4 linked regions of the Drosophila melanogaster genome follow. The protein of the gene in region 3 interacts with the protein of the main gene of each other region in a biochemical or structural test. Each region holds a gene or a part of one and is shown on either strand. Other genes may lie near its edges. The genes, in order: TfIIEbeta, otu, Ubx and CycK.

Region 1 (3,522 bases), on a different chromosome or scaffold from region 3:
TTACGAGTCGTATGAGCTATATTTTTGTCTATACTGAATATCGGATCTCTTGTTATAATCTTAATAGATTACAAATAGCAACACAATCTTTTTTTAGATTTGTAGAGTCCAATATATAGATAATTTTCCTGATAAGCCCGCACAACCGCCGTACCAAAATATAGGTTATTCCAAATCGATTCCAACTGAACTTGGCTGCTGTTCAGTGCAGACTAAAGCTACGGCTTCCCTCTGTTGCCAATTTAACTGCCCACCAGCATCGATTCTGGCCCTCGTACACGCACACCACCAGCCATCAGGTGTGGAAAGCAATGGGGAATGTCAGGAAAAGATTACATAGTTTTGCTTTTTAATTATCTTTCCCTGTGCCGGTCGTCATATTTTTAAGTTCAATGCCACAGGCAGAACAGCAATCTGGTACTATAAATCTTGAGGAATGAGATTTCGGCCACAGCGGATTCTTAATTAGATTGGCAGTGGTTAAACAAATTTATAACATCCAGTTTCGAGTGTACTTAATTCCATTGAGAGTGGTTTTTATTTGTATAATCTAATGTCTCTATTCTACGTTGGGTTCACACCCTTCAGCGTTAGTGTGTTATCCTCGTAGACCTCCAGAACGTCGGCCAAATGTTCGTTGTCTCTGGGCTTCTTGAACTGCCGCTTCTTGTTGGCCGCCTTCTTGCGCTTGGGAATTGCTTTCTTGAGGCCATGGTCCTGCATGGAGCGAATGCCCTGCTTCTCGAGGTACTCGTCAATCTTGGCGTCGTCCATTGCATCGACCGTAGCCGAGCGCCATAGCTTCTGGAACTCGTCGTCCACCTGAGACGGTACAATTGATTAGGCTGGGATTTTAGAAGAGTGTGTTTATAACCCACCGAAAAATTAGCAGTCCTGTCATTGTAAAATAAAATCTTCTTTTTGTCAATGGGTCTAACAACAAAAAGTATTTCGGCTGATCGGTTCTTCAGCACCTTTTCGCAGTGTGGTAGAGATTCCTGGACATCGTCCAGCAAAATGCCGCCCAGGCCCTTTAAATCATGTTGCTTGAGCAGACGCATCAGCGTTTTGCCATCCTTGATCTTGTAGACTGGCTTGAAACTGAACTTGGTGCCACATGGACTGGCTTCCACCTTGGGATTGTTGTGCAGAGCCTCGCTAGCAAGCCACTAAAATAGAGGAATAATGGTTTAATAACCTGCCACAACTTATCACGCACTGTAGCTAACATTCTTAACGGATTGCCCAATGTCCAGCTGGTTGGTCTCGTCCAGAATCTCATCGATGGTCAGGGGATGGTCGTCGCCGTCCTGGTGACGTGTGCGCATGAATTTCACAATCTTGGCCAGCACTCCAAAGCGGTACTGGGAACTGCCGGACATGGTCTTGTATCTAAGTATGGAATGCAAGAGTTCCACATGGTTAAGAACCATTTCTGGCAGTAGCAGAGGCTCTCAAGGAACTTACGTTGTGGCATCCAGCCTGGGAGCATTGGGCGGGCGCATTTTGCGCCTGGAATCATCGCTAGGCGGCGGTGGAGCTGGTCTATCGGGCTTGGACTTCTTTTCCACGCTATTTTAAAAGGATAGCATGTAATTTTCGAGAAGCAATCTTTATCAGAGGGGCCACAAGTGCGGTACTCACGTGGGCGTGGCCATCGCCCGCTTTTTGAAGGCCTCGCGTTCGCGAAGCAGTGCTGGATCCATTTCGAATGTTTTTTTTTATTATTTAGCTCTACGAAAAAAAACTTTCTGCTGCGAGAAATCAACAATTTACAAAATCTAAACAATGCCTGCTCAGCTGTCCGTGGAACCGGAACTTACCAGGGCTGCGACACTGAAGTTGTACATTTCGGAACTGGTTCATTTAACGACCTTTCAAAAAGTCCATTCGCTTTTAAAAAAAAATTTATTATATATATATGGAAAATCTGCATAGCGAGAATTAATTTGTTTCCCATTTCGCTTCCAAAGAAAAAAAAAACATTATTCCATTTAAGTGTATTTATTGTTGGCCTTATACAGTAGAATATCGTTTATTTAAATCTAATATATGAAAAGAATAATTTTTCACGCTGTGGCTTAGCGTGAATTTACGAGACAGAGTTGATACTCTTAAGAAATTCATTGCGTTTGAATTTATTGCTTGGCTGAATCTCGTCGGAATAAGTTTGTAAGAGTTCAAGTTACACAGAGAGTTCGTTTCTGTATCACGGGTAGATTCAAAAGTCCCCTAAGCGGTATGAGTACACATATATACGACACTATGCATATATTGTGTATATAGCAAGAGCATTGCGGTTTCGTTGGCTCCGTTTAAAGGTCGTATGGGTTATGGGTCTTTCTACGAGTGCTCTGTACGAGACCCACTTGAGTTAGTCAATTGGTAGAGAGTAGTCAACGGGTGTGGTGATTTCGTTGGCCTGTTTGGTTTGTTCACCCGGGTATGGTCTTCGTTCGCAGTTTCCGTTTCCAGTCTGCGTTCTCCAGTCCCCGTGGTTCTGGTTCATGTGGCATTCCGTACGGAGAGTGTTGTTGTGGTGGTGGTTCTTGTTTGGTTATTGGTTGGTTGTTGCGTTGTTTGGTGGTTGGTGGTCAGTTCAACTGTTTTTATCGGACTGTATGCTCAAGTTAGTTACGTTTTCGTACATTGCGTTCTCTGTAAGTTCTTGGTTGTCAGTGGGTCTGTGGAGATAGAAAGATAAAAATGGTTTGGCTTATTATGTTCGCGCTCAGTGGGCGGCATGGGTATCGTGGACATCGATGGCCAACCGGTGCACAGGGCAAGTGCAGCAGGCGCACATTGTCTTAAATCGCTAAAAGGTTTTCGGTTTGGAATTTGCACAGCTACTTACCTCGTACCACGGCACACACTCAGTTCAATTATGGCTACATTAATAGATACGGAATTTATGCATACTCAACTAGCTACTTACACTCAGTTCCGTCTCAATCGCTTGCGACCGCCATCATCGCCGTCGGAGCCACTTCGCTCCTCAGCCTCCATGACCTAAAGTAAGATAAAAATTTAAAATTGATTAGAATTGCTTGCTTGTCAGCAACAGAACATGAGTACACGGTACAAACCTTGATTTTGGTGCCGCAAATTTCGGCTCCGTTTAGGGTACGAATGGCCAATTGAGCACTCTCAACCTCCGCATACTTGACGTAGCCACAGTTCTTGTTGGGCAGAAGGTAGACGTCGATCAGTCCCGACCAGCAAGAGAATATGTTCTTCAATATCGAATGCGGCAAGTTCTGAGTAGATGGGAAAGAAACAACGTTTATAGCTAATGGTAATTGGACACGGTACAGTGATACCTACCGCTGAGAGCACAATGAACAGTCGTTGGGCCACCTGGTCGTCCGGCGATGCCAGTGGCTGAGTTGGGGGCAAGGGAACATTGCAGATGGCATCCTTTTTGGTTCGCTCTAAAATAAAAAACCACATTAAGTCTAGAAATAGGAAATATCATGCATTTTAAGCCAAAAATGTGCTAAGAAATAAACCAAGCAAAAGCGT
Region 2 (6,991 bases), on a different chromosome or scaffold from region 3:
ATTCTGGATGGTTTTAACATGGGTTAGTTTTAGCAGGATAATGTTGACAGCTCAAAACATTTTCAATGTACTACATACTAAAGTAATCGTGATTGATTGAACTAATGAACCTTATAAATTTTCTAATATCTAATTTTCTTAGTTGTAAATACTTTTTGTTGTTTTTTTTTTCTTAGTTAGTATGCACTAATTTGATGTAATATGCTACAATATAAACCCATGCATTAAAAAACTATCTGCTTATCAAAAATAACAGCGTTTTCTAAAACTAACATAGACAAACAAATTATGACACAAATAAAGACAGTACATACAATAATAACAAACTTTTACAATGAAACTAAAGGATTACATCAGAGTTCTTTATCGTTTCGAAGATCAGCGTCGATGTGATGTGACGAGGTGAATCAAAGTAATCCAAGCCAATCCACACCTTTTGTTTGCTATCTGAAATCGCGCCGAAACACGAGAATACCACGTAATTGCAGCACCTGCAAAAGTCTTTTGTACATTTTGTCTCTTGCGCTGCAGTTGAATCTTGTTTTATTTATGGTTAATTTTTGATGGTACACTTTACATAGGTGAGTCTCTAGCCGAACAGCGAGCACATAAATATATATATATATATATATGTATATATATAGTAGATAGTATGTAGATATTTTTGGTTAGAAGGGTTTTAAATAAATCATATAAATAGGTGGTTCTTTGATTTCGTGACGGCTAACTTTAAAAAAATTCGCATAAAATTACGTTAAATTACATTTTTAAAATGAAGTTGGGTTGACATTTGCGTTAGGTTATGCAATCGATTGTTGTACAGAAGCTGAATGGTTTATGATAGAGCGCCAACGCTTATGGCCTATAAAAAGTTAACTACAAATTTAAAAGTGAGATTAAATTTTAAAAGCCGTTAATTGCAATGGAATGTAATGCCTTCGATCTGTATGGCCTCTCTCTTTCAAGTGATCTGTTTTTTGCCCCCGCTCCCTTTTTTTTTTCTTTCTTTGTTTAGTGATGACGCGTTGCAGCATAGACAGCTGCCGGCTGAGATTGGACAGATAAGGGAGCTGGTTGCAAGGTGGCTGGCTGCTGTTGTTGTGGCTGAGCCGACGGGTCCATGTTATAGTTGTTGATCACCTCATAGGGGGACACCACCGGAGCTGGCATGCCCCAGGCGTAGGGAGTCTAAAAATGGTCGAGTGTCGATTGCCTATAGAATATTTTGAATTTGTTAGTGCATGTATCACTCCTACCTGTCCTTGAGCTGCTCCCCCTAGCTGTGGTGGTCCCGCCTTGTGGTAGAATATCGGTGGCGGTGGCGGCGGTTGGAGCAACCTCGGCGGTGTTATCAGGTGATGATGCGGCGATGGAGTAGTATAGAAACTAAACTGACTGCCATTCGAGCTTGGCGATGGCGTTGGAGTGGGCAAAAATGCCGCTGGCCCCAGCGAATCCTTAATATCTTGCAGCTGCTCCGGACGTTTGCCGCGCACCTTAACCGAATTCAAATTGCGCTTGGCGTAGGCACTTTTCTCAAGCGGTGACTGCTCTGTGGCATTTGCCACCTCTGGCGAAGGTGGTGGTGTTGACTCCACGGCAGTCAAATTGTCCTCTGTGGCGCCAATGACTACAGTCCGTCCTGCCTGTTGATCAGTGTTGTTCTGCTGATGGTATCCAAACATTCCTAGTTCATCAGGCGGCGTGTGGTGCGACATGCGCCAATGCAAATCCACGCCCATGTTGTAGAAGTATCTCAAAGTCACCATATCCACGGGCAAATCTTCACCGTTTGGGTGTAGAGAACGACGTGGCTCGCCAATTCCGGTAACATTTAGCGGTGGAGAAGGAAGCGGCATAAATGGATGCGGTCCCGATAAAGCAACAGCTCCCGGTGGTGGTGGACCATAACCACCGAATGGCATGTATACACAACCTTCGGTTGGCGGTGGATGCGGGGTTCCTGAAATGGGGAACGGAAACTCCTCGGCAATAGCCATCGGAGATGCAGGCCAAGGTGGCGGTAAATGCCCAGGACGACTCGGTATCATTGGCACGTAATTCATATACTGAGTGGGTGGCGGGGCAGCCGAACCCGAAACCTCCTGGTTTTGGCTGGAACTCGAGTTCTGCGGCTGAACCCTTGATGCCTTCGTGCGCTGGTGTTGCTTCTGTGCCTGCGGTTCTTCACGATCCCGCTGCTCCGTAGTCGGGTTCTGGTCATTTTGTTCAGGATCATTATGATCCCGCTGCTCATCGTCCTGAATGTGCACACCCTGATAGCAATTGTCCACGGGCATGTAGGGCATCAAATCACACTTGCTGTGCTCAAAATACTGGTCCATTTCGAACAGCTTGTTCTTCTTCCATTTGGAAGACTTGTTGGCCTTACCGGCATACTTGGGCAACGGCAAGCGAGGCATCTGGCGATGATAGCGGAATGGCAACGACCATGGGCGGTACTCATCTGGCGGCAGGGGATGGAGCGATTCATACGGGACCTAAGCCAACAGATATGTTTGTATATTAGTAAGCTCTCTATTAAAGCGAAATAGTTACAATTAGCTTCGGATACCGAACATTTTTAGCCCTTGCAGATCAATTATTTTATAGACTTATATACCAGTTCATTGGGCCACAATTAATATACTTTTAACTAAACTTTAACAAATTTAACTAATTGTTAAATATGATAATCGTTTCTAATCGAAATTTTTGCATTTCTCTGCAAGGGTCTAGAAAATCAGATAAAAAGAAGAGGTACCACTATCTCTTTGCCAATCCTCTCAACAAAGACGTGGCAGTAATTCTTATCTTTGGAGATATTTTGAACGTGGCACGTGTACATCTCCGTTTCGTTCGGCAATTCCACCTTGCACTTGGCGCCCACCTGGAAAACAAATAACACGGCGACGAGACGAGGAAGGATAAGGCAAGACATACATGTATAGTAAAGTATAAGGTGTATCCAGTGTATAGATGAAAATGAAAGGGTGTTAATTTGGATGGGTGGTTGACATGAAACGTGTGTTGGTGTGCGTGTGTATGTGTGCTAACGATAATCCAATGTTCTGCACAGTTTACCTTAAAGTTATAGTCATTTATGTAGACATTATAAAGCTTGGCCTCCTTGCGCATATCGTTCCAGCAATCAAATTCTATATTACGATACATATAGGGGTCCATGGACTTGGCCACTTTGTAGGGAAACGGAGAGATACCTAAAAAGAGAGTATTATGTAAGCATTTGATGTTTGAAACCACCTCTACTGACCATCATCTAGCAGCTGGCGGACACAGGACTCCAATCGGTTTGGACACATGGGCAACAGATCGTTTGGTTCGTGGCCACTGCTGCCGGATGCCTTTCGCTCCTCCTGGTTTTTAATCTCCAGCCGGCCTCCCTTTCGAGCATTAATGCTCTGATTTCCATTGGTGCTATGGAAATTGCACAGCTTATAGTTTTCCAGTATGCAGTTTGTGTCCCCTGGCAGATCAAGCTTAAAAACTCGTCCATCGGTGCAATGAATGCGAACCATATAGCCCTTGTCATCGAACTCCACATTGAAGCGATCCCAATTGAAGGTGTGTGGATGCAACATAATCTCCACAGCAAAGGATACGTCAGGCAATTTGAAAAGCTTCTGGTACAGCAACTTAAAGGCGATTGCTGAAAGCAACGTACATATACAAAAAGCAAAATTGGATATATTAATAGGCTACGTACATTGACAAATGGCGGCTCTTTCTATATATTCAACGTCATAAACCGAATCAAAGTGATTCTCATTGTTGAAGAAGACACGGAAGTTTTCCGCATAGCGACGATTAAAAACGACGCTGGTGCCCATGTTGTAGGGCTCATACAGGATAACATTGCGGCTGGAAGTCGTACAGAAATCATATATATTTGTAGAATTTAATAGAAAATAGTAACTAAGGATTAATTACCGATATAGGCAGGACATAGCGCGTAGTTCTGTCATGGTTCCATATGTCTTGGGCTTGGACATGTCCTGCATGTAGCTATCGAAATCGCCAGGAATTTCCTGGGATATAAATAAAATTATTTCTTTTTTTTTTACAAAATGTGTGATTGTTAGAGGCCTACCTTCTCAAAGATGCGTCGTTTTAGGGTCATGAAGCGGACGCACTCTAGCCGAATCTCGTAGTGCAGCATCTGGGTGTCGTACATCTGCTCGGCGATCACACGGAACAAACTGGAGGCGTCCCGGGCCGTGTGCTTACGGTAGAGTCCACGGCTCTCCAGATACTGATCATACGGATCCGGGGCCTGCCGGCTGCCTGACGTAATGGGGCGCTGCACTTGCATGTCCATGGCGACTCTGGAATCGAGAAACTTAAATTTTATTCATTTCATTTTTTTTTTGTCATGTTTTCCCTTTGAAATACAAGTATTGCACAATTAACAGTTAGAAGAGGGCCCTGACCTCGATCTATTTGACCTTCACAATCACTTTTCAACTGCTATCTATTGTCGTTTCACTAAGAAGTGCGCATACTAAGCTTTATTACTTATTTTATGTTAACTATTGTATAGTTTTTTTAACTTTAATAGTTTTAAAGCAAATTTGCTGCAATACAAATATATTCCAATTATTAACCGACTCCATACAAGCCGGGCTTCAGAGCGAGATGACAATATGCACCTGCGAATTCAAGATGGCGCAGTAGAAAGGCAAATGAAGCAAAAGAGCAAAATTAAATGTGATGAAGCTGATGAAAATTAAATATTTGTTTAAAATTTAATGATTTAAAAGCCTCTCATGCTGCGCTTAATTAGTTAATTTCGTCACTTGACAAATTACCGTTACTATAAATGTTTCAACTAATACAGTTAAAATCGAATCGAGATATTACCGGTGTTCTGCTGTTCGTCTTCTGTTGTACAAATTCTATTTTTATAAATAGTTAACAATTAAATTAACAATTAAAAATAACACTGGCATCCGCACCTAGCACCGTTACACGAAGAATTGAAGCGAATGGCGCGATCTAGCCTTTCAGAGAACCCGCGAACTAGAATGCGAACGAAAAGTATAAGAACGAACTTCCAGTGCCTGGAAGGATGCCGACAAACGAAATTGGGCAATAGTGATGTGCGGAAATGAATCAATGGAGTTGGTTCGTGATTTTATCAACAAAATAAATATATCTGATCTTGTTGAATACTTTCTAAATGAAATACACAAGTGTATGATATACTTGAAATATATTGCTGAGCGGTTAAAAAACTCCTGTTATCGCCGTCTATCGATGACACCGATAGCGGCATCATCTGTTCCGTGTCATCCCCAAAAGTTTCTGTTACCTTCAAATTGTTCTTGTTACTGTCGTTGCTGTTGTTGCTGGCCCGCTTTTTAGGGGGTGGAAAATGCCGCTTTCCACACGGCGCACTGTTGTTCTTGTTCATCAGACTCAGTTCGAAATTGCGAGTCAATGAAGCCAGGAGCAAACTTTCAGTTCGCGCTGTTACCGCGACAAAAGTTGTCTGGAAGAGATGTGAGTGTGTGACTGTGTGTGCCTTTTGTTTTCCTGTTTTTTTTTTGTGTTTTTTGTGTTCTCGTGTAAAGTTATGTTTTTGTTTATTGTTAGTAAATGTCGTTAGTTGGTTATCTTGCGAGTGTGCAAAACGCAACGACTATGAATTCTATTTCCTCTCGGTGTTTCATCAACTTTACGCCATGTTCATCTGTTTCGTTTTCCTCCTCCTTCCATCGAATAATAATAACAAAGAGTTTTACATATGAAAATCACAGTCATTAACAAAAACAACACACGTGGACTCAACCACACACAACAATGGACATTTGTACATGCGATACACACATGCAAATAAACAACGTTATGAAATTGGAAGGAGTGCACAAAAGGAAGAAGTAGAAATGTGCGGTTATTTCATATCCAAGCAATGCCGTAAAAATCAATAGGAGCGACAAACAAAGCACGTGCTTGTGCGAGTGCGATGGCAAATCGATAAACCGTTAATCAAGTTTGTTGAACGCGTGTTCGCCCCGTCTCTCTCTCGCCTTGTTTGCGCCACCTCTCTTTCCCACACACGGCCCAACGAAATAATATTTCTTTGATTCCTTTTCGTTAATTCCACGATTTTCGATTAACTGGGTCAAATGGTGACATAGATATGATGTTCTTTTTTTTTGGGTGGTATTTCATTTTCCAGGTGCCGAGGTCAATGTCACGGACATTTCTGCAATGCCGTCTGCTGACCTTCGAACTTTGGTTCGTTTTTGTCAGCAATTAATTGATTAAATGATTCGGCCAATATATTGTCGGTCGTCTTATCAATATACCGATTATACAACTATCCTGTTCCCGCAACTATCTTATCACCAAAAACAAAATAAAGAAAATACAAAAATATAGGTCTCTTGAACCGGACTCGTCGGGCTCCCAGATAAGTGCTCCATTAGCTCCATCTCGCTTGCTCGCGGTTCTTGACATGTGTCCCTCAAACACGAATTAACGACTTAAACTCTTCATGTGATAAAAATCGACGTTCCTGTTTTCGAAAAACCATCACTTTGTTTTCCAAAATATAAAGGTCTTTAAAGCTTTATATCTGATATTGCATGGTATTTTATAACATCTAAATGTTGTTTTTATAAGTGGTTTCAAAATCTTGTGCTGTGTGATAATATTATATTAACGTAATTTCACAAATATGCGAAATGAAATGTTTGATGGTGTAGAAATACAAACAATACCAACCATCTTTGAAATAGCACAGTGAGTTTCTGAATTTGGGAACATCTCGAAAGTTGTCTTCTCTGCTTTTGTTGTTTTTTTTTTCTGATGCGATTGTTTGCCGGTCGGCGGCTAAGAATTTCCGTTTGCTGCTTTTAGTTGCCTTCGAACATTTTAGCTCGTCGCGTCTTTGCTGAAATAAAAAGGGGAAGTAAGAGGTAAAGCATACAGTCCAAACAAAACAAAGAGAATTTCGCTTGCCAAG
Region 3 (4,795 bases):
CCCCATTGCATACCCCACCATAACGTAGCAAGTTTGAATATACTCGTACCCGTAAGATTCCCGAGTATATTAGGTAGCAAAATTTTTACGAGCTCATTATGGCTCATTTCGGCGATTGTTGTGATCCTTTTATGCGCCTTCGAATGGCTTCAAATGGTTATGAGGCTATTTCTCTGTCATCCCCGCGAGTCCTTCGCACTCGTGTCCTTCCCCTGGGTCCCAAATGCGGGATAGCGAGTTTCTGGGTCCTGGATTCCCGACTCACGATATTTAGTTTGCAGTTGCGACTGCGATTTTTACTTTACTTTTGCTTTGCTCTGGGTCTTCTCGCCTTTTGGCTTCGCTTTTCCTTGGGCTTTTGGTCGCATATTTAGAAAATGTCGCCGCGTCTCCGAATGTGATTCAAGTGTTTGTCAGTGTGTGTGTGTGTGTGTGTATGTGGTGGTGCGTATCTGTGTTTTGTGCAAGTTTTTGTATCTTTCGCTTGTTGTTGATTTTTAAGACTTGGCACCGAAAATTTGGTCGGCGGAAAATGGCGCGAGCAGGGGTTGGAAAAGTAGAAAAGTAAATTTCTTCTTATAATAAGTTTATTTTGCAAACACTTGTGGCAAGCAACTTTGTTTGGTCGCCGTCGGTTTCTGGCTTAATCTACGAGCCGTTTGTGCGAATGTGGAAACTTTGACAAATATTTGCGAAACTTTCGCGAATGGCGCGGCGTTCTCGGTCTGCAAGACCCCGATCTATTTGCATTATGCATATGAATTTATTAGCATCAATTCCCACCATATTTACATTGACATTAATATCCCATTGAAAGTATTGGCGAACGGATTGAACATTTGGATTCGAATGCGAATTTGAATTTGAATAGGAAAAGGAAAACCGCAGCACACAAATTTTCCGGATCCCTGGCTTCTATTACCGTACAATGCCGAGTTGGGGTTGACTTATTATCAATAAACTAATGCTAAACACGAGACTTTTAATAAATAAAAAATAATGTCTTCATTAATATATTATAATTCGTTTTTAAAGGCCTAATAAAGCCTTTAAGTGATAAGTATCTTTTTATGCCATACCACATTGAATTAAGCTTATAGTTTTTGAGGTAAAGGTAAAAACGATTAATTTACTAATATTTTTCTAAATTGTGAAACAATTTATACGATATTTACTTCCATAGAAATTAAATTAATAATTACAATATTCCGACTATTCTAATAAATATATTTTTTAAAACAAAAACTTTTTTGCACTTCGTTGTGTGCAAATTATTCCCCAAAATATTGAACAATTAAATAATGACCAGCTTAAACTGAATAGAATTAGATACAAATAATTTGCGTAAGCCATATTCTAGCACAAAGATTGGGAACTGAAACTGTAGTCATAAGTGCGCTAAAACCGAGCAAATACGGGATGCGCATCGTTTGGCGTGCAACTGGCAACTGGCGGGCAGCCCGTCGAGCGTTTTTCGCCACTCAGTTGAAGGAAAATCAGCCCTCCTCCATGATGAATTTCCCGCGGCGAGCGCATTTTCCTTCCTCGCGAATGAATGAACGAGAGGCGCCCACCCCGATAAACTTAAACTGAACGAACACTCAAGAGAGAGCGCAAGAGCGCTCAAAAACAATCTGGTTTTGAGCGTTTCGCTGGCTCTCTGTTTCTGTTTTCCACTCGTTTTTAGGCCGAGTCGAGTGAGTTGAGTCGGCAGAGCAAAGTCAAAACACTGGCAACTGCGATTTGGTGCCACATTCGTTCGATGGCAACGGATTGGATAACAGGCGCGCGCTTTGTTTTATTATCCACATTATCAGCGGCATTATTGTTATTATTGGCCCTCAGCGCTTTACCGCTCGCCCACGCGTCCGCCCGTGAATGCCGCGCGGAAAAGTCGCTTTCCACTAGATTGGCGTCCAGATTCGAGGAAATCCGTCAGCAGACGCATTCGCGCCCGTTCGGTCAGCACTATGGCTAATAATCGTTCAAATCGTTAAAACCATAAAAATAATAATAATAATTGCAATAACAATAAACATAGTAATAATCGTAACGCTTACGAGCCTTTGATAGTGCCAAGGCAAGCGCAATCCAAGTATTCAAATTCGAATTCAATTAACAGCAAAGTGCAATTGGCTAAAAACCGAAACCAAAACGCAACAAAGTATACGAAACACTTGTGAAACCGTACAAACAATTGTGGAAAAAAATTTAAAGATTATTAAGATTGAAGTCTCAATAAACATTAGTGCTTAAATAAATTTAAAACGACCCGCGTGGAGAGTGCAATAAAAAGAATAACTTTTGAAATAAATATTTACCAAACAGAAAAATATTTTATAAATATTTAAATAAGTGAAAAACAAATTGGTTACTCTGAAACAAAGAAAATTCAAATTGGTGCTAAAACAAAGGAGAAAAAATTTCAAGAATATTTTACAAATAATAAGACATATTTAACTATATAAAACCAAACTTAATCAACAAAGACTTGGAGTGAAAATATAAAATAAATTTTAAAAAGAGTTTAACAAAATTTGTTTAAATCCAAAGGAGGCAAAGGAACAGCACAGAAAGCGAGGAAACACTCAAATAAAATCCGCCAAAAATCGCAGATCCCTGGAAACCAATTCGTGTGAAATCGGTCAAGCCCCCAACGACTTTTAGCCCGTCTCAGACGGAGCACCGCCAAGATTCTTACCGCCAGCAGCGCAATGAACTCGTACTTTGAACAGGCCTCCGGCTTTTATGGCCATCCGCACCAGGCCACCGGAATGGCAATGGGCAGCGGTGGCCACCACGACCAGACGGCCAGTGCAGCGGCGGCCGCGTACAGAGGATTCCCTCTCTCGCTGGGCATGAGTCCCTATGCCAACCACCATCTGCAGCGCACCACCCAGGACTCGCCCTACGATGCCAGCATCACGGCCGCCTGCAACAAGATATACGGCGATGGAGCCGGAGCCTACAAACAGGACTGCCTGAACATCAAGGCGGATGCGGTGAATGGCTACAAAGACATTTGGAACACGGGCGGCTCGAATGGCGGCGGGGGTGGCGGCGGAGGCGGTGGTGGCGGCGGAGCGGGCGGAACAGGTGGAGCCGGCAATGCCAATGGCGGTAATGCGGCCAATGCAAACGGACAGAACAATCCGGCGGGCGGTATGCCCGTTAGACCCTCCGCCTGCACCCCAGATTCCCGAGTGGGCGGCTATTTGGACACGTCGGGCGGCAGTCCCGTTAGCCATCGCGGCGGCAGTGCCGGCGGTAATGTGAGTGTCAGCGGCGGCAACGGCAACGCCGGAGGCGTACAGAGCGGCGTGGGCGTGGCCGGAGCGGGCACTGCCTGGAATGCCAATTGCACCATCTCGGGCGCCGCTGCCCAAACGGCGGCCGCCAGCAGTTTACACCAGGCCAGCAATCACACATTCTACCCCTGGATGGCTATCGCAGGTGAGTGTCCTGAAGATCCGACCAAAAGTGAGTGTCCACTGCAGCACAAGTCCACTGAAAGTCCCCCGAAATCCCATCCCTTCTGTCCTCATCCCTGCAGTGCCAAAGCTTTGTTGTTTTCCCAGTTGTTATCAAGCTCAACAGATTGCAGCTATGGCAACAAAAGTCATCCTGTGATTAATTGCCGTCTCTGCTCCAATTAACAGACAAGTCAACATGTAAGGCAATATAATGAAGAGCTCGAATCGATCATGGGAAAAACAGATAACAACTTGTAATGTAAGACATATGAAAGCAGGCAGAACAGACCTTTTTATGGCAGGTTCTTAGGGAAAAGACACAACACCTTATTGGCAATCAAAAACTTTAAGCGATTTAAAAAAAACAAAAACTAAGAATGTATTATGGTTATAGGAAGCCAAAAAACAGTCCTAGTTAATATTGTGTATATTCAAATTGGCTGAAAAGTTTAGAAAAAAAGATGTGATAATACTTGGTAAAAAAATTAAAAATTTTAATAAAAAATAGTAAAATTATATTCTTCAGAGGAAAAAAATTAGGACAAGTATTTTAGATTTATTAAGTGTTAAAAAGGCAAAAACCCCCTTGGCTAACTCAAAATTATTTTCCAATAATTCTATTTAAAGGCACCCATTTGCGTGGCCATAGTTTATTCGCTGGCCGCCAATTTCAGCGATTTAATCACTCTAAGCGAGATTTTATGGCTGTGATCTCGCTTAGAGTGATTAAATCGAGTGAAGAGCCATGAGTAGCTAAAATAAAAAAATAAAAAAAACCAGCTCAGACCCTTCGATTTCACCTGCTCCGCTCCGCGACACCTTGCAGCGCTACGTCTGCCTCATAATTTTCAACACTTTGTTTACTAATTTTTGTCACCTTTGCTTTTAATGATGCTCGGCGGTAATTGTTGCAGCGCTGGCAGCCCAAGTGAGCTGCAATTTGTGCAACAAGAGAGCGGCAACGAGCAGCGTGAGTTATGGCATGCGGCTTAAAAAGAGCTGCAAAATAGCAACGGAGAAGTCAAGAAATAGCAAAAGGCAGCAAAGGCAGCCACAGGAGTCGGCGAGAAAGGGCAAGAATCCTTTCAGGACACACACTGCGCGCAGAAGTCGCGCTTATTACGGTTAACTACGCCATTATGTAATTACGTTCAGCCCCTCACCGCTCGACTTTTCCACGGGTTTCAGTCACCAGCCGAGCGAGGCGAACGGCTTGCGTCTGGGCCGAGATTGCCGTTTGGGCCAAGAACAAAGCCAAGAGTAGGTCAGCCGAAGGAGGTCTAGGTGCTCGAAGATCGAACGTAAACTGCACTCAAGCTGGC
Region 4 (7,982 bases), on a different chromosome or scaffold from region 3:
AAATAACTACATATTAATGCACAAACAATAAAATTGAATGCATACTAACTTTTCTTATGCTTAAAATATTACAAATGTGTGTATATTATTAGTTTAAGTTTCAAATTAGTGAGTAAATGAATTTTTCACATTTCTTTATCTTTAAGTCATTTTTGAAAGGCAGGTGGTAATTGTGAGCCTGCACTAGTTTTAGGAGATAATAATTACGTGTTTATTTTAAACAAAATCGGAAGGTACTAGTCAGTAAGCATTAATTATTATTTTTTAAATAAGGCAAATATGTATATTTTAAAATATGAAATACATGTATGTATGTCCGTATAAATAAAACCGTGAAATCAAATGTCGATTAAGTCATTTGACATAGCCAAGCCAGGAAATTTGCGGCTGATCCAAAAATATCTACCTGAGTGTAGCATAGGTGGGATAAATTTGGGCAATACGACCAAGATCGTCATCGTTCTCCAATTGGGAATCCTTCCGTGTACGCCGAACTGGTAGGCTGGGCATCGCTTAGCTTCGAACCCAATTACGAATATAGCAAATTTATACGCGGTATTTGTAGCTTTCCCAGGATAACAACACAATCCGCATAGACGGAATCTGCGATCAGGGGTGATCAAACGTTAGAATTTGCACAACATTTGGGTTTGTTTACCTTTTTGAAGTTCGAGATCGTAATTGCTTGTCTTGTGAGACGTAGATAGTTTTCAACGTTGGGGGTACTCCGGCCTTGGTTGTTAACCGCAACCAAATACTTAGCATGCAATTGGCGCAGTCGAATGACGGAAATTCACATTCCCTAAGTGCTCGTTAAATAGAAGTTAAAATACTAGAATTGTATACATATACTGAATCACTTGGTGAAAGAAATATAAAATGTTTGTTATCACTGATAAATTTTAATATACATTTTTAAATTCAATCAAAGTCAATTCCATATTATCTGTACTTCATTAAAAAATATAATATTATTAAAACAATACGATCCCCACCGGCGTTGTATATTTTCACCGATTTTACGTGTTTCATTCATTCTTGAGTTTCCCCTGATACGTGTCTGCGTGCTGCTGGATGTTCTTTGAGTTTTGTAAAATTTTATTTAAGTCAATGATCACTTGAGCGGTAAGGTTTGAAAATATGTTCACTAGCCTAAGTGCATGATTCAAAGAAAAATATACATAACATTTTCTACGTTAAAAAGAAGCATCTCGACTGATTTGGTTGTTTCGCTCTATCAAGCTCACGTTTCGGTTTTCCATTATTATGTAATTTGAGTGATATATATCGATTTTTAAGAATTTAACACACATTATAGAAACATAAAAAATATAGAAACATAATAAAATTATAGTGCCATCACTCGCGTTTATATTAATAATAAAAGAAAGAATACTATAGTCGAGTTCCAAGGCTATCAAATAACCGTTACCAGCTAGTGTGAATACAAACGCGAAATTGCATCAATTTTATGGAATATCGATAGATAATGGGATATAAAATGATAAAAAATTTCAAAATTGTTCCAAAGTGTGGCATTAGGGCGTTAGAGTGCGCGTGGCAAAAATTTTATTGACAAATCGATAGAAATTAAAAAGACTAATTAAATTATAGTCAGATCGACTAGGATATTGGTCCTGATCAAGAATATATATACCTTAAATGGTCGGAATACGAAAATACGACTAACGGTTATAATAAATTCATCACCACATTACTAGAAGTAATTACTATTAAATAGAAAGCGCTTACACTGCTCATAATCTTGTTATTACATTTTATAATGTTTAACGAATGCTATCTATGCTTTAAATTGAAATACTTGTTATCCAGTAGGATTATACATAATGAATTATTTCAATATACCATTTAACAACAAAACAAATTGCGCAATTCCCATCACTAATCCCTATGCTTGGTTTGATATCTCCAAAACATGGAAATGCGATTCCAGTGTAAACATCCCATTTGTTCCTCGTAACAGTCAAAGGACGGCCAAAACCACGTGTAAATATATCTGTTTAATTATATCCCAAAATTAAGTCACCAAAACTAGCAAACGCACAAAAAATATTCAGTTTGACCCGCAAGAGATCGAAAATTTTTGCGTTATCTATTTACCAATAAAGTTGTTCCATATACTCAAAATCGTCGTGGTCTTGGTGTAAAAGGGGCTTCCAATAAAGTTTTTTTCTTCATCGTCGTAGACATGGTAACACTGCAAGTGAACATAAAAATCGAAAACTGATTTATTTACAATAAACAAAAGCGCTTATCGGCTCCAGGACGCGCATATGCTGACAACCATTTGGCTAAAGGTTTAACACAAATTCCTTCCAACGACGCGGACTACTGGTAGTACCCGCAGCCTAAATTGCCGCGATGCCGTGCTGGTATTACGACAAAAAGGAGCTGCGGGAGACGCCCTCGATCTTGGATGGAATAAGCTTCGAAACGGAGCGGCGGTACAGAAAAGAAGGTGCTCGATTTATTATGGAATGTGGCACCAAAATGGGCTTGGGCCACAACACGATGGCCACCGGCGTTGTATATTTTCACCGATTTTACATGTTTCATTCGTTCCGGAGTTTCCCCCGGTACGTGACTGCGTGCTGCTGCCTGTTCTTTGCTGGCAAGGTGGAGGAGACGCCAAAGAAGTGTCGCGACATTATTAAAACTGCGCGTGGCATCCTTACCGACAATTACTTCTACTCGTTTGGCGACGACCCTAAGGAGGAGGTGATGACGCTAGAGCGTATTCTGCTGCAGACCATCAAATTCGATTTGCAAGTAGAGCATCCTTACACCTTTCTCCTAAAGTACGCTAAGTGTTTCAAAGGCGACCAGCAGAAGCTGCAAAAGATGGTGCAAATGGCGTGGAACTTCGTCAACGACTCTCTCAGCACAGTAGTTTGTCTACAGTGGGAGCCGGAGATTATCGCCGTGGCTCTTATCCATTTGGCCAGCAAGCTAAGCAAATTCACTGTGCAAGACTGGGAGGGCCGCCAGCCACAGCAGCAGCGTTGGTGGGATATGTTTGTGTCTGATGTAACGATGGAAATACTCGAAGACATCTGCCACCAAGTTCTGGACCTGTACCAATCAACCCAAAAAGAAGCGCTCCAGCCAACCAGTCCGCCCCAAAAGCCACCAAGCAGAGCCGACAGTCCAAAATCCGGCAAGCTTACCAATTCTACGGGTATTGGACCACTTTCCGTTCCACAACAGCCGCCGCCCCCCGTATGTGGCAACGGTGGCGTGCTGGAAGTTAGCAACATTCAGAGCATTAAATCCCTAGCCAGTGGCGTGCCAATCATTGGTCCTAGCGACTCCCAGAACCTGTTACAGGGCCCAACACCACCAGGTCAGCCATCCGGGTACCACATTTATCATGCTCCTCCACCGCCGCCCCCGCCGGTAGTGCCTATGCCGCCGTACCCCTCTTCCGGATGGGGAGTCCAGCAGACAGTGGTCGGACACTATAGCGGGAGCGCTGCACCACCACCACCAATGCCGCCTAGCTTGCCTCCAGGAGCCAGTGGATACTACAACGCCGGTGGGCGTCCATCGCAGCAGCGCTACTAGTAGATGCAATGACTAATAAACAAGTAAAAAAAATTTGTATATTAAAACTAGCGAACCGTTCGGAATAGGATTTAGAGCGGGGATCTTCGTACGGTTCGGTTTTCTTTTTTGGTTACACTCTAGGCCCAATATTGTCCCGGGGTATTTATCAATGATTTTTATTCCCTTATTTTAAGTCCTTACCCTTTCACATGTACTTGTTAGCAGAATTTTGCTGAAATGATGTTTCCAAAACTGAATAAAACCAAATGAACTAGAAAAAAATATTTTGGACATTGGGGCACTAACAAAAATAGATTCTTATTAAAATTGGCGAAACGTTGAGACAAAGCGGAATTGGAGTAACGGCGAAGTTTATAACAGTGGAAGATAAACATGAGAAATATGTGAGAACAATTTTTCAAAAGTGTGGGCGTGGCAGTTTTGGGGGTTTTGTATGTAAAAGGAGGGGCGTGGCCAGTGTTTTTGGTATGCAGATAAAAATTGGCAAGTCAAACAATAAAACGAAGAAAAATCTAAAAATTTTTAAATAGTGTGGCGCTATGTGTCTCCGCAAACTGTATGCTTAATCTCAACCATCTAGCTTTTATAGTTCATGAGATCTCGACGTTCATACGGACAGACGGACAGTCGGAAAGTCAGATATGGCCAGATCGACTCGACTATTGATCCTGATCAAGAATATATATACTTTATATGGTCGGAAACGCTTCCTTCTGCCTGTTACATACATACTTACAACGAATCTTGCACCTTTTACTCTACGATTAATGGGTATAATAACTCTTTAGATGTTTGAATAATTTTTGGAATGATACATAGTGTGCGAAGATTGCTCGGCTATCAGAAACAACAGTGCAGTTTTGCAGTTTCCATGGACTTTATTCTTGCCCATGGTACACTTGGAATAATAACGACTGCCCAGGCTACCTCGATTCGTATGTTTATTATAAATATAATTATGTCGTAGGCCAACGGTTTCGTTTTCCAGGCTAAAGACGAAAATGTTCGAAAATAATATTATTGACTTTGTTCGATGTTCTTCAATTTAATTTAATTTTTAAATGGTGTTAAAAATAATTAATTTCCTTTTATCTTTCAAATTTTATAAAGTCGATTTCTCTGAAACCAGGCTCTTTGATGTGATACTTACCGCGCTCTGCTTTCGAAACATCAACTACTTTGTCTCAGTTCGTTGACTTGCTTCGTTACAAACGTCTCGATCTTTTCGCTAAAAGATCTAGCTGACTTTTAGTTCTCCCGCGCTCTAGGTCCAAGGACCTCTATTTCACCAAAGACACTATGATAATTTTAGTAATTTATAAATTAACTAAACAAAATAATTTTAGTTTGGTATTATTCTAGTGTTGCTTTACCGTAAGTTGGCTATATTTAGACCAGGTATTCGGATACTTCATTTTTATAACAATTGCAAATATAGTGGTAAAACACGAAAAAATTAACAAAATATTTTTGCGGTTATACATAAATTTTTCAATGCAGAAATAATTTCTCAGAAATAATAAAATATTATATAAATATCAATATGAAGAATATGAATAAGCTTTAGAGTATTACTTATTGCCGTTTTATCAAGGGCTAAATAACACATCTAAATAAATAGTGCAATAGGAAAAGGAAAGTTTTATATTATATATTAAGGTTTAAAGCTAGGGCATAATCTATTAGACTAAAATTTACATTGTGTTCTGATCACTACCCACTTATTGCCATATATGTTGCAGGAAAGGTCTTCCGTTGATGTTTTTCGCCAGAATGCTATGGTACTTCCAATGAAGCTGAGTTTTTGTCAAGGGATCTACACGTTTGTCGACCTTGTGAAAGACAAAAGCCAGTTCTGACTGGATTAAAAGTTTGCATTTGTTTGTGCTCTACTAGTATGCCTGGCATACAGTTCTGTACAGTTCAAGTCTTCAAGTCGTTATGATATAGGACCACCTCTGTCGAAGGGAATAAATTAAGATCGTACTTGTCAATACTCCAACTAATTTTATTGAGTAAATCTAACAGTACTTAAGAGTAAGAGTTAAGATTCACATAATATGCTTATGCCAACAGAATTGTGTAAGACAACAAATTTTGGGTAAGTGGTAATGCTATATAGCCAACTGGACAGAACATGTTTATGCCAGTAAGTCGTTCACGACCTGAAAAACGATAGTCCGTGTTGGACTAACACTTTTACCTGAAAAATAACATTCTCCTGGCCGTTGAAGTGTTAAATAAGTAATTAAAGAAGATTGAATTTTAAATTTAAAACAGCAGAAATTCTTGATTTGTTTTTTAGTAGCCGGCTTACTAACTATACGCGTGACTCGTATAGAGAGAGTATACTAGATTCGTTGTAAAGTAACAGTGACATTCATACGTGCTAGAAACTAACTTGTGAGTTTTAAAGCAACACAAAAATTTGGACCAGCAAGAAATATGTCGTTCTATACGCAGGGAACTCTTAGTAGAAACTTATCAGCTAATTCAATGTAGTTATAAACCGCTTGCAAGATCCCTTTCTTATAAAAAGCATAGAGTATAATAAAATTCTGATTGTCTTAATTCGAATGTAGAGCCTTTTTCCTGTCTTTGAGCTGGCCCACCAATCCGAGAAATATTTTTTCCAATATATGTGTGGTGTGTATCTCATACTGTTTTGTTTTCAGACATGTATATATATATAACGCTAAAGTAAGATTAAAAACGAAAGGCGGGTAACAACGAAGACGAAAGAAGAATTCAGGAAGATGATGATCAACTGAGATGAGTTGAGTTAGAAAATGTTTTTTATTATATTATTTTTATTTATATTATCCAAAAATCTGCAGTAGCAATTATGTTGCGTCACGGCCCTTGAACGACGTGCAGAACACAGCCAGCCTTATGAGAAAAGTTTAAGCACTTGGATTGCAGTCGTTAAAAATTCTTGCTGTCAAACAATTAAAAAACTGTGACCTTATGTTACCCTTGCTGGCCATGTTTGTTTTAAATAGGCTTCTGTGTCACAATTATTTCTAACGCATGGCGCTCACTCGCTAGCAAAACAATCTAATGCAAAATTCGAATAACAAAACAAGAGAGAATGCTATATATTTCCCTTATATGACCGGAAAACTATGTACCTGTTACATATGTTTCAACGACTCTAGTATACCTTTCTACTCTACAAGTAACGGGTATAATTACATATGTATATGTACATATGTACATACATACATATGTATTACGTATTCCGTAAACAAATATGCACATTACAATATAAGGCGTTGATAGGCGAGGCAGATACATATATTTGTATTGATACCTGTATATTATGGCCTACATAGAAAACATTTTTGAGCTTTAAACACCAACTAAACTTTGAGTTTCTTTATTTTCTTTTTTTTTTAGAGCGGAGAGACTTTTGAACCCGACTTAAGCGGTGGGTCACGGCCATGCGATCACCTGATTTAATATGGAAGATGACTTATTAAAAAAAATTAAACAATAAAACTGGGCTAAGCACTTCTAGAGAGATGATGTGTATCCGGCTTAATGTGAAAATAAATGAGTGGTTGTGCAAATACGTCCTAACATTTGCGGGTTAGAGTCAGTACCCCACTCATGTAATACTGCGGGATCATTAAATATTCGGGCAGGGTGCGTTTACAAAAGGAGGTTGACGACGATGCCTGTGCTTGTGTGGATGCTGCTACTGTTGCCTGACGCACGATGTGACCAACCTTTCCTGAAAAAAATAGAATGTTATTTTGTAAAAAAAAATAACAATTTAATACAATTTGAAATGACTTGTATTCTGCGTTAACCTTACAAAAATTGTTACGCCCACTGGCTAAGTAACGGAAATCTGAAATTTGAATAAATCGACTATAAGATTCTCTCGTCATTAATTGACTTCCCTAAAGTTCTTAGGGTAGCAATTATGTAGTCTCACGGACTAGCCTAATTAAGGTCAAATTGCTTCCCTCTTGCGTATATTGGCAAAATTTCATTAGTTTACAATTAAAGAAAAGAACTTGTTTAGTGTCTCTGTGTCAGGGGTAACAATACTTACTAATCCATATATATATATTTGTATATCTATCGATATTCCAGAAAAATTATGAAATTTCGCGATCGCATTTCTACTAGCTGAGTAACGGGTATCTTAAAATCGGCGAAGCCGACTATAGCGTTCTATTTTATGATTAGAAAACATTTTTCTTACTGAATATGTAAATATGTAATATATCAATACCGAGTAAAACTTTTATATACAAACTATGAAAAAACAACTCTATAGAACATCTTACCCATCACGTTTGCGCAATGAAAGCGGTCATCTAGTTGCTGAAGGAGGGAAAGATCTCGACAACGTGCCCAGGCATTAAGTATGTCCCTTACAT

What was found.
Region 1: the proteins of Ubx (region 3) and TfIIEbeta form a complex in vitro, tested with the Drosophila melanogaster proteins (one study listed by BioGRID).
Region 2: the proteins of Ubx (region 3) and otu form a complex in vitro, tested with the Drosophila melanogaster proteins (one study listed by BioGRID).
Region 4: the proteins of Ubx (region 3) and CycK form a complex in vitro, tested with the Drosophila melanogaster proteins (one study listed by BioGRID).

Annotation. Positions count from the first base shown.
Region 1 is NT_037436.4:4,285,334-4,288,855, reverse strand, and holds TfIIEbeta (transcription factor IIEbeta), read right to left. Parts: upstream 1,819-3,522; 5' UTR 1,707-1,818; coding exon 1,645-1,706; exon of another isoform or gene 1,573-1,644; coding exon 1,468-1,572; intron 1,393-1,467; coding exon 1,230-1,392; intron 1,170-1,229; coding exon 879-1,169; intron 823-878; coding exon 565-822; 3' UTR 507-564; downstream 1-506. Other genes in the region: CG1316 (uncharacterized protein), read right to left, coding at 2,938-3,009, 3,087-3,257, 3,325-3,431.
Region 2 is NC_004354.4:8,484,493-8,491,483, forward strand, and holds otu (ovarian tumor), read right to left. Parts: upstream 5,044-6,991; 5' UTR 4,882-5,043; exon of another isoform or gene 4,856-4,881; intron 4,631-4,855; exon of another isoform or gene 4,452-4,630; intron 4,361-4,451; 5' UTR 4,340-4,360; coding exon 4,112-4,339; intron 4,050-4,111; coding exon 3,952-4,049; intron 3,883-3,951; coding exon 3,728-3,882; intron 3,671-3,727; coding exon 3,275-3,670; intron 3,222-3,274; coding exon 3,085-3,221; intron 2,891-3,084; coding exon 2,765-2,890; intron 2,502-2,764; coding exon 1,257-2,501; intron 1,189-1,256; coding exon 1,012-1,188; 3' UTR 516-1,011; downstream 1-515. UniProt on the Drosophila melanogaster protein: Catalytic component of a deubiquitinase complex consisting of bam and otu. The complex deubiquitinates K63-linked polyubiquitinated proteins; this antagonizes the ubiquitination activity of Traf6 and regulates the IMD immune signaling pathway.
Region 3 is NT_033777.3:16,731,383-16,736,177, reverse strand, and holds the start of Ubx (ultrabithorax), read left to right. Parts: upstream 1-1,751; 5' UTR 1,752-2,714; coding exon 2,715-3,480; intron 3,481-4,795. UniProt on the Drosophila melanogaster protein: Sequence-specific transcription factor which is part of a developmental regulatory system that provides cells with specific positional identities on the anterior-posterior axis. Binds the consensus region 5'-TTAAT[GT][GA]-3'.
Region 4 is NT_033779.5:22,124,124-22,132,105, reverse strand, and holds CycK (cyclin K), read left to right. Parts: upstream 1-1,963; 5' UTR 1,964-2,382; coding exon 2,383-3,585; 3' UTR 3,586-7,166; coding exon of another isoform or gene 7,167-7,324; 3' UTR 7,325-7,821; downstream 7,822-7,982. Other genes in the region: CG3651 (uncharacterized protein), read right to left, coding at 7,167-7,324, 7,890-7,982.